3 linked regions of the Astyanax mexicanus genome follow. The protein of the gene in region 1 purifies or fractionates together with the protein of each later gene. This does not show direct contact. Links are inferred from orthologs where the notes say so. Each region holds a gene or a part of one and is shown in the gene's direction. Other genes may lie near its edges.

The links.
Region 2: the proteins of slc30a5 (region 1) and mettl9 purify together in Homo sapiens (co-immunoprecipitation; 3 studies listed by BioGRID and IntAct, with this or other methods). This does not show direct contact. The link is inferred for Astyanax mexicanus from reciprocal best matches to the Homo sapiens genes SLC30A5 and METTL9.
Region 3: the proteins of slc30a5 (region 1) and csgalnact2 purify together in Homo sapiens (co-immunoprecipitation; 3 studies listed by BioGRID and IntAct, counting the BioPlex papers as one, with this or other methods). This does not show direct contact. The link is inferred for Astyanax mexicanus from reciprocal best matches to the Homo sapiens genes SLC30A5 and CSGALNACT2.

Annotation. Positions count from the first base shown.
Region 1 is NC_064408.1:19,571,473-19,575,228, forward strand, and holds the start of slc30a5 (zinc transporter 5), read left to right. Parts: upstream 1-852; 5' UTR 853-1,242; coding exon 1,243-1,313; intron 1,314-1,553; coding exon 1,554-1,676; intron 1,677-2,089; coding exon 2,090-2,156; intron 2,157-2,254; coding exon 2,255-2,340; intron 2,341-2,448; coding exon 2,449-2,536; intron 2,537-2,630; coding exon 2,631-2,718; intron 2,719-3,756. UniProt on the Homo sapiens protein: Together with SLC30A6 forms a functional proton-coupled zinc ion antiporter mediating zinc entry into the lumen of organelles along the secretory pathway.
Region 2 is NC_064422.1:28,298,387-28,302,142, reverse strand, and holds the start of mettl9 (methyltransferase-like protein 9), read left to right. Parts: upstream 1-1,365; 5' UTR 1,366-1,518; intron 1,519-1,681; coding exon 1,682-1,846; intron 1,847-3,315; coding exon 3,316-3,506; intron 3,507-3,756. UniProt on the Homo sapiens protein: Protein-histidine N-methyltransferase that specifically catalyzes 1-methylhistidine (pros-methylhistidine) methylation of target proteins.
Region 3 is NC_064414.1:37,655,824-37,659,579, forward strand, and holds the start of csgalnact2 (chondroitin sulfate N-acetylgalactosaminyltransferase 2), read left to right. Parts: upstream 1-1,360; 5' UTR 1,361-1,507; intron 1,508-3,756. UniProt on the Homo sapiens protein: Transfers 1,4-N-acetylgalactosamine (GalNAc) from UDP-GalNAc to the non-reducing end of glucuronic acid (GlcUA). Required for addition of the first GalNAc to the core tetrasaccharide linker and for elongation of chondroitin chains.

The DNA of each region.
Region 1 (3,756 bases):
GCATATAAACTGCATAATTAGCACTAGTAGACCTCTCACACACTGATATACCAAGGTTTAAGATTAGATTAAATTAGATTATTTTATTTTGTTATCTTATTTTTTCTTATTTCATAGAACACAGCAAGAGTTCTGATTATTCAAATGACTGAATAATATCCAGCCAAAGAAAAAGGATCTACAGGTATTATTATACCTACATAATTCCTTCAATCTCTCATTCTTAAAAGTTATGTTACAGTAATGATTGTTATAAGTATAAAAAGTTAAATAATTCTGACACAATAACAATGATAAAAATGATATTATAAGAAGAATATGAAATATGTTAATTGTTTAGTTGTATTTAATGTAACTGAATGTATGTAAACTGTTAAAAAATAATGACATTTTATAATTACAATAAATACATAAAAATAACAATAAGAACCAAAATTAATCTTTTATTTCAGCTTGGGGGTGGGACAACATAGAGTTTGGTCTTCAGAAAATCAGAATATCAATATCAATGTCAATTAAATTTAATTATGGATAGATTAAGTATTAAAGTAGTCACATTATATCAATATCAATAAATTACATATTAATAAAATAATCTTGAATGTATTTATTCTTTTTAAAGCAAGCTTTTCTAAAACTATTTTTGTTTATTTTTTTATTTATTTTATTTTATTATTTGTATAGATATTTCCATAGTATTTTCTTCTTTTATTTCATGGTTGCATTACTTACTTTCTTATCCTATTTTTTTAAATCATTTTCTTTCTTTCTTTCTTTCTTTCTTTCTTTCTTTCTTTCACTCTGCATGCCTTTTAATGTATAAAATCTCCGTGTACTTTTATTTTGAAAGGTTGCACTGGTCGCTTCCATGTTTGAGGAAGTGTTGACGTTGATTATCTCCTGGATGCGGTGGCTCGCGCTGATTATGAGGAGATATGAGTAGATTATGAGAGATGTTTTTAGATTTATAGAGGAGTAATGGGTGTTTCGGGGTTCACGGCTGTTCTGGGGGCGCTCGGCGGGCTTGATATCGGGAGCAGCGGCTCGTAAAGCCTCTGAGAGCGGTAGAATGCTGTGCTGTGGTCCGAGCCCTCGGGCCGGTTAGCTGTAGCTGTAGTCAGTGTACGGAGCGGTCAGTCTGTTGGAGATAATTATTACTATAGAGTACTGTAGCTCTGTGTACCTGTGTTTATATGAAGCAGTTTGGTCAGGTTAGTTAACTTACAGTCCAGCAGAAACACGATGGATGAGAAGTACAGCAGTAATGTAATCTCCGGGGGGAAACTGGGGAGAGTTGAAGTGCCTAATGCCAGGTAACCGGCTCTTTAAAGGTCTCATTCTGTTCTGTTGTGATTGTATTATCATTATACCAACAGCATAAACATTTCCCTAGAATGGCAATAATACTGTTTAATCACAGTTTTTTGGGACGGTATGTCATCCATAAAATGAGTTATTGTGACAGATCTGTTGTCAAATGCAATGAGAATATAATTGTTCAATTTCTGTTGATGTTTTATATCTTGGCCTCATGTTTATTTTGTTAATTTCAGGTTGACCAGATATATAGTCCTACTTCTACTCACCAAGCTGTTGAAGGCTCTGGGAATCTTTGAATCCTATGATCTCCTTAAAGTTGTACATGTTGTGCAATTCCTTTTTATTCTTAAATTTGGGTAAGTGTTTTTTTTTTTTTTGTTTCTTTTTATTCAGTACATTCAATAATAAAACTTTATTTTTATATAGCGCTTTTCTAAAACCTGAAGACGCTTACAATCATCATTAGTAGAAACATAGATACAAACAATAAAACAACAAGCAACAGCAGACACATCAACCTAACAGTAGTATGACAACTAGACAGCAGATATGAGTGGTAGAGCACATTAAACCGAGGGAGAGCCATAGATGAGTGAGTCTTGAGATTCGATTTAAACATAGAAAGAAAGGAAGATTGTTTTTCCGCAGATGGGAGAGAATTCCATAGTTGAGGAGCAAGAGGATGGGACTTTACAATATGAACCAAATCCATTTGTACATGCTAACATTTCCTAACATATTTCCTTTCCGGTATGTCTCTCTAACACAGGTGTGCAGTGATTTTACTTTTCTTTCAAAAACCATTCTCATCAGGAAAAATAGTCTCTAAAAGACAGGTATGTGTTGGATAGATACTGCTAAACATTTTACAACACTTTGTTAAACAGTGTATCAAATTGACGATTAACATCACTACCAAATGCTTCTCTTTCAGTGGATCAAAATCCTCAAACATGCTGTTATCAGCTGCATAATCTCACTCATAGGCTTTTTTGGGCTTACACTTTGTGGACCACTAAGGTGAGTCTGTGACCCACAGCTATTAAACTCTTAAACTTAAACTCTATCCTGTTTATAGTTTTGTAATTTTATCATGACCAGGCAACTGAGCTGAGTTTATTTCTGCAGGACGTTGCTGCTGTTTGAGCACAGTGATGTGGTGGTCATCTGTTTTCTCAGCGTTCTCTTTACCAGCTCTGGAGGAGGACCCTCTAAGGTTGGACATGTTGAAGTTGATGCTATTTGCAATAAATTGTCAAAGACTATTTATGAATTTGGTTTGATTGATTGTTTGGTTTTGTTTTGTTTAGACACGAGGCGCTGCTTTCTTCATCATTGCGGCCATCTGTCTGCTGCTGTTTGATAATGATGACTTAATGGCAAAAATGGCTGAACACCGTATCCTTTTTTCCAGTGTCAGTGTGAAGTGTTTAGACAAAAAAAATTGATAATCTGTTGTATATCCGAATATCGATGTGGAATGCATCTTTTCTTTTTTTCAGGCTAAGTAGTTGTTTGATGCAGACATTGTGGATCTCTACCCAATGTTGCCAACTTTTTGTCTGTAGAGTATTGTTTTCAGAACCCTCTAGCAGAGTATTTTCAAAAACTATAGACAAGTCTATTGACTCTTTGTACCAGCTTACCGCTACATTGCACAGAGAATCACTCAAAATGCACATTATAGTATCACAAGTGTCTTACAAGCCTTTAAATGCATGCTTCAATGCAACTCCTTTTTGTGATTTTCTACATTTTAACACAGTCAATATTTACACCCAAACCACTCATTAGGACTCCCCCTATCACTAGTAATGCTACAACACCAGGAGTGTGAAGACTAGCACATGCATGCCTCCTCTGATACATGTGAAGTCAGCCACCACTTATTTTAGATCTGCTGCTGATGCAGCATTGTCGAGTAGCATCACAGCGCACTCGGAGGAAAGTGCAGCGGCTCGGTTCCGATACATCAGCTCACAGAAGCCTTGTGCTGATCAACATAACCCTTTGGAGTGATAAGGGAGGAGCGCGCCATCTACCCAACCAGAGAGAGCAAAGGCCAGTTGTGCTCTCTCAGGGCTTTGGCAGCTGATGGCAAGCTGCATGACTGGGATTTGGGCCAGCGAGCTCCTGATCGTAGTGGTAGCACTTAGCCTGCTGGACCACTCGGAGCCATACTTTTCTCTTTTAAAACATTTTACAAAATCCAATAGTTTTGCACTTTTTTTCAGTTTGGTTTTATTTATCTGGTACAGAGAGTAAGAGACTGTAAAGTCTTGATATGTGACCTTAGGCAGAATGTTAATATGACATGATCTTACAAATTTGATCATTTGTGCAATACAAAAGCTGATTAAAAAAAAAAAAATTATGTTTTTTGTTTTCTCCCACCTCCCCCTCTTCCTCCGTCCTTCTCTAAAAACGTTGGCAGTA
Region 2 (3,756 bases), on another chromosome or scaffold:
ACTTAAGTGCCTAAAGCACAAACAAAAAACTAAGTAAAAAGTAAATGTAACAAAAATAAATAAATAAAAGTAATAAAACTTCAAAAACAAATAATATTCGAAATGAGCATTTTTTTTGGAAAATATTGTTTGGAGACTAAATCAAATAATAATAATAAAAAAAACAATAAAACAATAAAAATGCCAAATAGAATTCCTCCTGAAATCTTAAAAAAAGTTGAGTGTCTTAATTGCTTAAAGTAAAAGAGCAAAATAAAAATAAAAAAGAAAATCCTCAAAAGAAAAACTTTCAAAATATGACCTTTTTAGTGTCTAAAACGCATCAAGTAACAATAAACAAACAAAAAAAGGAAAAGAAAACAATGATATCCACATTAAGTGTCCACAAAACTTAGCTCAAATAAGTCAAATAAAATAAAATTTAAAGGGGGACATTTTATAAAAAGTGGACTAAATGTCTAAAATATATTGAAGTAAAACAGTAAAACAAACAATAATGAGTAAATAAAGTTGAAAGAGTGTGTAATTCCTAATTTATAAATTCTTCACTTTAACCCAATTGAATATTTTATTGTTAACAGCATTAACAAGTATATAGTTATATAGTTAGTTTAACTTTTTCTTTATTTTACTGTTAATTCCCAGATTTGTAGTGTAATGATTTTATGTTAAATGTGAAACTCAGTGAGAGGAGGTGGAGCGCCACCTGCTGGGGACTGGAGCTGATTACACGCCTCTGGATTACACTGATGACGAAGGAATTCATATCAAGAGTTGCCAGATTCGCGTTTTTGCGCCAAATCGGGCTTGTTTGAAAATCCATTAGCCGGTGAAAAGTCTGGGGTGGCAAGGTGCGTTTTGGGGCTACTTTTAAAAATGACAGCGTCCGCCAAAAAACAAAAAAGCGGGGTTCGTCTTGTTATGTCAAACGTGTACGAGTCGACACTAAAATAATTAATAATTGGAAGATTGATTACATCAATAAGAACCAGAAAATGATGGAAAAAATATTAAAGAGAAGAGAAGAGAGTTCGAGAGGGGCAAGAACAGAAAAGAGAAATTAAACGTTATTGTTTTGCTAATTATGTTACTATTAAATGTTCTTGACTGTGATATAAAACTGCTGTAAAATAAATAATAAAACACTAATATTACAATATTATTAATGACTTTAAGATAAATAGCAATACTGGTAATAAATCCCTCATAAACAAAATACTAAGTCGTACACTCGAAATTTGCCATTTGCTCCGAACTTGTGATAGACACGTTAGGCTTTTGAAGGGAGGATTTTAGACTGACTTTGGGCTGGATACTTTTGTTGGACCTGGCAACCCTGCATCTAACCCAGGAAGCGCTTCACCTCCACCGGCTCTCCGTCATTACTGTAGTGCAGTAGCTGTTTTAACAGCAGCGCCTCGCTGATGCAGCGCTTTATTAACGCGTTATCGGTGTGTTTTTGGGATTAGCGATTCTCTGACAGAAGATGGGGTCCTCTAATCTCCACCACGCCTTCAGGTCTGTGTGTGTTTGTGTGTTTTTTTGGGGGGGGGGTATTTAAGTGTATTTATACCTGCAGCACCTGGAGTAATGTTCCTCAGGGAGTTGTAATAGAAGAGGAGCTGAGGTCGCTCAGGACCTGTGTGTGTTATTTATTTATCTGGCTGTGTGCTCTGTACAGATGAGGGCTCTGCTGTTTGGAGGCTGGGTGGTGCTTTATGTGGCGGTTCTGCTAGCAGCGCGGAGGAGGATGTGGTCTGGGAAGTACGTCCGCAGTCCTCTGGCTCGAGCCGCGATTATGAACATGGTGACCGACACTGAGTTTACAGGGCCAGACTTCCAGGAGGTAAATATCCCTTCTTTTTAACGTGAATTCAATAATATACCTATGTAATATACATATATAATGTGTTTGCTCAGATTTACTGAGGGTTTAGTGCCAGGATGTAAGGACTGTTCTATGTCAAATATTAATTTCTGAACTCTTGAGCTCTGGGAAAAAAAATTAAACCACTACAGTTTCTGAATCAGTTTTTATGATTTAGCAATTTATAGGTATATGAGTAAAATGAACATTGTTTCTTTATTCTATAAACTACGGCCAACGTTTCTCCCAAGTTCCAAATAAAAATATTGTCATTTAGCGCATTTATGTGCAGAAAATGAAAAATAGCTGAAGTAACAGATGCAGAGCTTTCAGACCTCAAATAATGCAAAGAAAACATGTTCATATTTACAAGTATTAAAGATGTCAGAAATCAATATTTGGTGAAATAACCCTGGTTTTCGTGCATTTTGGCATATTCTCCTCCACCAGTCTTTCACACTGCTTTTGGATAACATTATGCCACTCCTGGTGCAAAAATTCAAGCAGTTCAGTTTGGTATAATGGCTTGTGGTCATTCATCTTCCTCGTGATTATATTACAGAGGTTTTCAATTTGGTAAAATCAAAGAAACTAATGATTTTTAACGTGGTCTCTTAACTTTTTCCAGATTTGTATATATATTTCAATATTTCAGTGAATATTCATGAGAAGGATTTCTCTGCTTAGGAAAAAAAACAGTCTAACCAGCTTGAGCTGGCTAGACTGGTTGCCCCGCTTAGCTGTTGTTCAGGAGCTACAGAGCATGCTTTAGCTTTAGTTTTGGGTTTGATGGTTTAGCTGGTCTAAACCATGATCCTATTGACCAAGCTAAACAAATTAGTGAGCTAGCTATGACAGCTAGGGGGTGGGCGATATGACCCTAAAATATTTTAGGGTCATATTTTGTTATATAGGGTTATATAGGGTATTTTTGTTATAACTATATTTTTGGTGATATAAAAACCATGGTTTTGTTTTAAATTAAATTAAAGATTATTCTGCTGTAACTGTGCCTGTCACAATAGTTACATTATTGACTTGTACAATAAATTTCACACAACCACCATACTATTTGATAATTGTGATTAGAGGTGCGACATATTGTATTGTACGCAATAATATTGGCAACATTTTTGAATAGTGTTAAAGATATTATACCCTGAAATATCGTGCATATCACCCACCCCTAATCATCACATCAGGGTACTACTTTTCTGGCTGTTTTTAGCAAAAGTAAATTTTACACTGTTCTCATTTCCCATTATATTTCTACTAGAGGCTGATAATATCTATCCAGTATCATTCGTTTTACTTTAAACCTGGAGACATTTGAGTGCAATATTAGTATGATGATATTCTGCGTCATTGACTTTTGTTACAATAGATGACCAGCTTTTCTTCATCAGGGATGTGCATGTGATTGATGGATGGGCCTTGTGTAATTTCAGTGGTACCGTTGCTGTCCTGATATGCTTGGTGAGAAGATTCGACCACTGTTTGTGCAGAGTAATTTAGACACAGACACTCAAACCTTTCTTGAAAACAGTGTAGAGAAATCTGGATGGCTTTTCACACAACTCTACCACTCGTTCTTCTCCACCATCTTCAGTCCCATCATCTCAAGAACGTCCATTAATGGGTAACTCGTAGCAACACTTTGTTCATTTTGTTTAGAGATGTTGACTGAATGTATTTACACAGGCACAACCAACATTTAATCACAGATGTGATGTGATGAAGATTTAGGTGTTTAAAAAAGTTATTTAGTTCTAATTTTTAAAGACAAAACCATATAACATTAAGACAGAAATGTAATTTTGTTTACCTTAGTATGTTTATCAGTCTCAGTGACAGCTTAATATTAGTTGTAGTTATTATTAACCACAGTC
Region 3 (3,756 bases), on another chromosome or scaffold:
TCTAAGATCTAATAACAGGTTCTCAGTTATATGTAGGTTAGAGGAATGTGGGGGCAATGGCAAAACATTTTCAGCTTGTACATCTAAAGGTTGTCTATTGTAGATTTTGAGATGTTTGGGATTTGGGATAATTGTCCTGCTGTAGAGGCCGTCCTCTTTTCATCGTATCTAATCTTATCTAATTTCATATGGTGTGACATTTTCCTAGATAATTTGCTGCATAGATGTTACATTTTAGTGATATCTGTGCTTTAACACACCCCCTGCAACTTATAAAGGGCTTGTTAATTACCTGATTAGTTAAACTGGGTGTGATAGAAGAAGGAGAGACATAAATGCCGGGCACAGTGGTAACTAAGGGGTTAGAACATCACGTTATTATTGACAGGGTTGTGGGTTTTATACCTGGGTTCAGCAAGCTTCTATTGTTCGGCCCATAAGCAACCCCCACAGCACCTGCAGGCACTGCAACGAAGGCTGCCCACTGCTCCAGGTACAAGTCCTCACACTGTGTGTGTGTGTGTGTGTGTGTATGTGCTAGTGTGTTAACTAAACAGATTAAAATGAGTCAAAAGTGAGTTTATATTTTCTATATCTTTGCAATAAAATAATTTAATTATTTAGTATACAAGATATTCCTCAATTAACTTGTTTTTAATCATAGTACATCCTTATTTTTTTTACCGTTCTTATTTTTCAATAAAAGCCCCTTAATGCGCAACATGGGTCAAAAATTATTTCATTTTCTGTTAATTCATGTATGGCTGAGTGTTTCTATGAGTGTTTTTATTTTCCTTTATTACTTTATGAAGAAGAAGCTTTTGTATTTCTACATCAGTTTTATTCTCGTAATATTACAACTTTATTCTTGTAATATTACAACTTTAATCTTGTAATATTGTGAATTTAATCTCGTAATATTGTGAATTTAATATTGTACATTTACAACCTTATTTTCGTAATATTACAACTTTATTCTTCTAATATTACAACTTTAATTTTGTAATATTGAGAATTTAATCTCGTAATATTGTGAATTTAATCTTCGTTATATTACTTTATTCTTGTAATATTGCAAGTTTAATCTTGTAATATTATGACTTTAATCTCTTAATTTTACGACTTTAATCTTGTCATATTACGACTTTATTCTTGTAATATTGCGACTTTCATTTCGTAATATTACGACTTTAATCTCGTAATTTTGCGACTTTAATTCCGTAATATTAAGACGTATTCTCGAAGTAAACCGTTTTTATTTTTATTTTTTTAAGAGTGGCCCTAAAACGCCGCCGTAGAAAACCCGTCTGGTTGCTGTGTATATTTTCCAGAGGCCGGGCTTTTATTTTGAAGTAGTCCAGATGAAGCCCAGTCGGAAACGGCCCCCATATTTTTCTCTGTTGTTCCGTGTTTTGTGCCCCGTGGCGTTTAGTTCCCACGTTTGTTTTGCAGAGACTGGAGGATATCCTCTCCGTTTAACGCCGCGAGCAGCAGCGCGGGATCCGAGGTAAGCGAGCGCCGCCGCCGCTGTGCTGAGTTTTATTCAGTAAATAACTTGTAGCGGAGAGTTAGTGAGGGGAGTGAGCTGCTGCTGCAGCCTCTCTCTCTCTGTGTCTGTGTTCCTGTAGCTCCTTCAGCCAGATCATCAGCTGCCTCTGTATTCATATAACATTTAAACACAATATTTAACCAGCTCATTCTGTAGCAGCGACCGACAGACATTCATTCTTCTGATTTGGCATTGTCAGCGCGTTAGATTAACCAATAACCCTAAGTGCTTTTATTGTTCCTCAGATCGATTTAAAAGTATTGTTTGACCAAGCTTTATATAAGCTGCATACATGTAAAGTCTCAGGTCTCTTATAGAGATAAGAAACATTTATATTTAACTGGTGCAGCACTTTTCAAAATAGAGAGCTATTAACCCATAACAGACCAGACCCATTTATAAATATTGATACTAAGATCAAAATTAAATCACCTAAATTCAGTGAGCAGCTCTTTCGTGATTTTTATTGTGGGAACATGCCTCTGTATTTAAAACATTTCTCCCAAATTCCAAATAAAAATATAGTAATTTAGAGCATTTATTTGCAGAAAATGGGAAATGGCTGAAATAACAAAAACGATTCATTCATATTCATAAAGTTTTAAGAGTTCAGAAATTAATATTTGGTGGAAAAATCCTCACAGATTTCATGCATCTTGGCATGTTCTCCTCCACCAGTCATATACATTGCTTTTTAATAACTTTATTCCACTCCTGGTGCAAAAATTCAAGCAGTTCAGCTTGGTTTGATGGTTTGTGATCATTCATCTTCCTCTTGAATCAAAAAACTTGTTTTATTTTTTTCCAGAGCTGTAGTATATACTTATGTACATGTTACATGTTAATTCTCAGGTCCCATTTTTTTGCCTTTGAAACATTATATTAAACTAATACAGTACTCTTTAAAACAAAGAGCTGTTAACTCATGGGATCCCAGATCAATTGAATATTAGTACCAAAATAAAAAAGTGAATCAGATCAATTCAGTGAGCAGCTCCCTCATGATTTTCTTTTATTGTGGGAACATGACTTATGATTTTAATCAAAAAATCCTGATTACAAGTGACACAACCAGTTTCATAACTGGTATTTTAACATCCACCTCTAGAAATCAGGTCAGGACTAGTTATATGGAATGTTTTCTCGTGGGAACATTTAATGAAAGCAATTGTTCAAATGGTTGAAACAGAGACCTGCTGAATCAATAAAATACTCCTACATTCTGTAAATAGGTCTGATAGTAATGCTCTCAAGATGTTCAGTATGTGTCTCTGTGACGTATATCATCATGGGCTAAAACTGTTATAGGTTAAAACTGTGCATTTTTCATTTATTTGTCACCCAGTTTTAAAAGAATTAGTTTATTAACTACCTGTAACTAACTGTTATATTTTTTATTTTGTTAATGATTAGGGAAACACCACAGCCAATGGCTGCCAAATAAAACAGAACATTTATTTTAGTGAACAGTGATTATTTTATTTATTTATTATTTATGTTTTGGTGTTGTGTATGCTGGGTGTTAATGTTTATTGTTCAATAAAATAGTTAAACTGTGGTTTTGCAATTTCTTGCTTTTTGCTTTGAAAAGCAAGACAAGAGTTGGGTTAGGACTCCACGATATTAAAAAAAAAACTCAAATTGCAATTGTATTTATTCCACACATAATATTGTGATATTTAAAAAATACAGGAATTTGTCTCAAATTAATAACAAAATAAAATAAATATTATTGGACAGAAGGAATCTGCTTATGGTAGACATGTCATAGAAAGAAAGTACAGCTATACAAAGCTATGCTTTTAAAATAATGCTACTCTTAGCACAATATGGATTGTTTAAAATCCCAACATAAGTGTTTGATGATGTATTGTGTACGATACATTATGTCACACCAATACTTGGTATTATAAAGAATAACAAAGAATTAGCTTTTCGTCTTTCTACCAAATTGCGATAAAAATAATACATTTCTTGTTGCCACTAAGTCTTTTTTGTAAGTTGAGCTGGCATTTTTTTTCTGCAAGTCCTCCAGTGTTCCTAAAAACTTAAAATGGTCTATGTGAATTGTTTCCCTCACATTCTCAACTGTTGTCCACACAGTGGCTGTATTTCCCAACACAGTCTTACGAGATAGATTGATTCAGATCTGCTGTTGTTTATGAGATGACTTGATCTTTCTTACACGCTCACTCTCTTTAGCATAG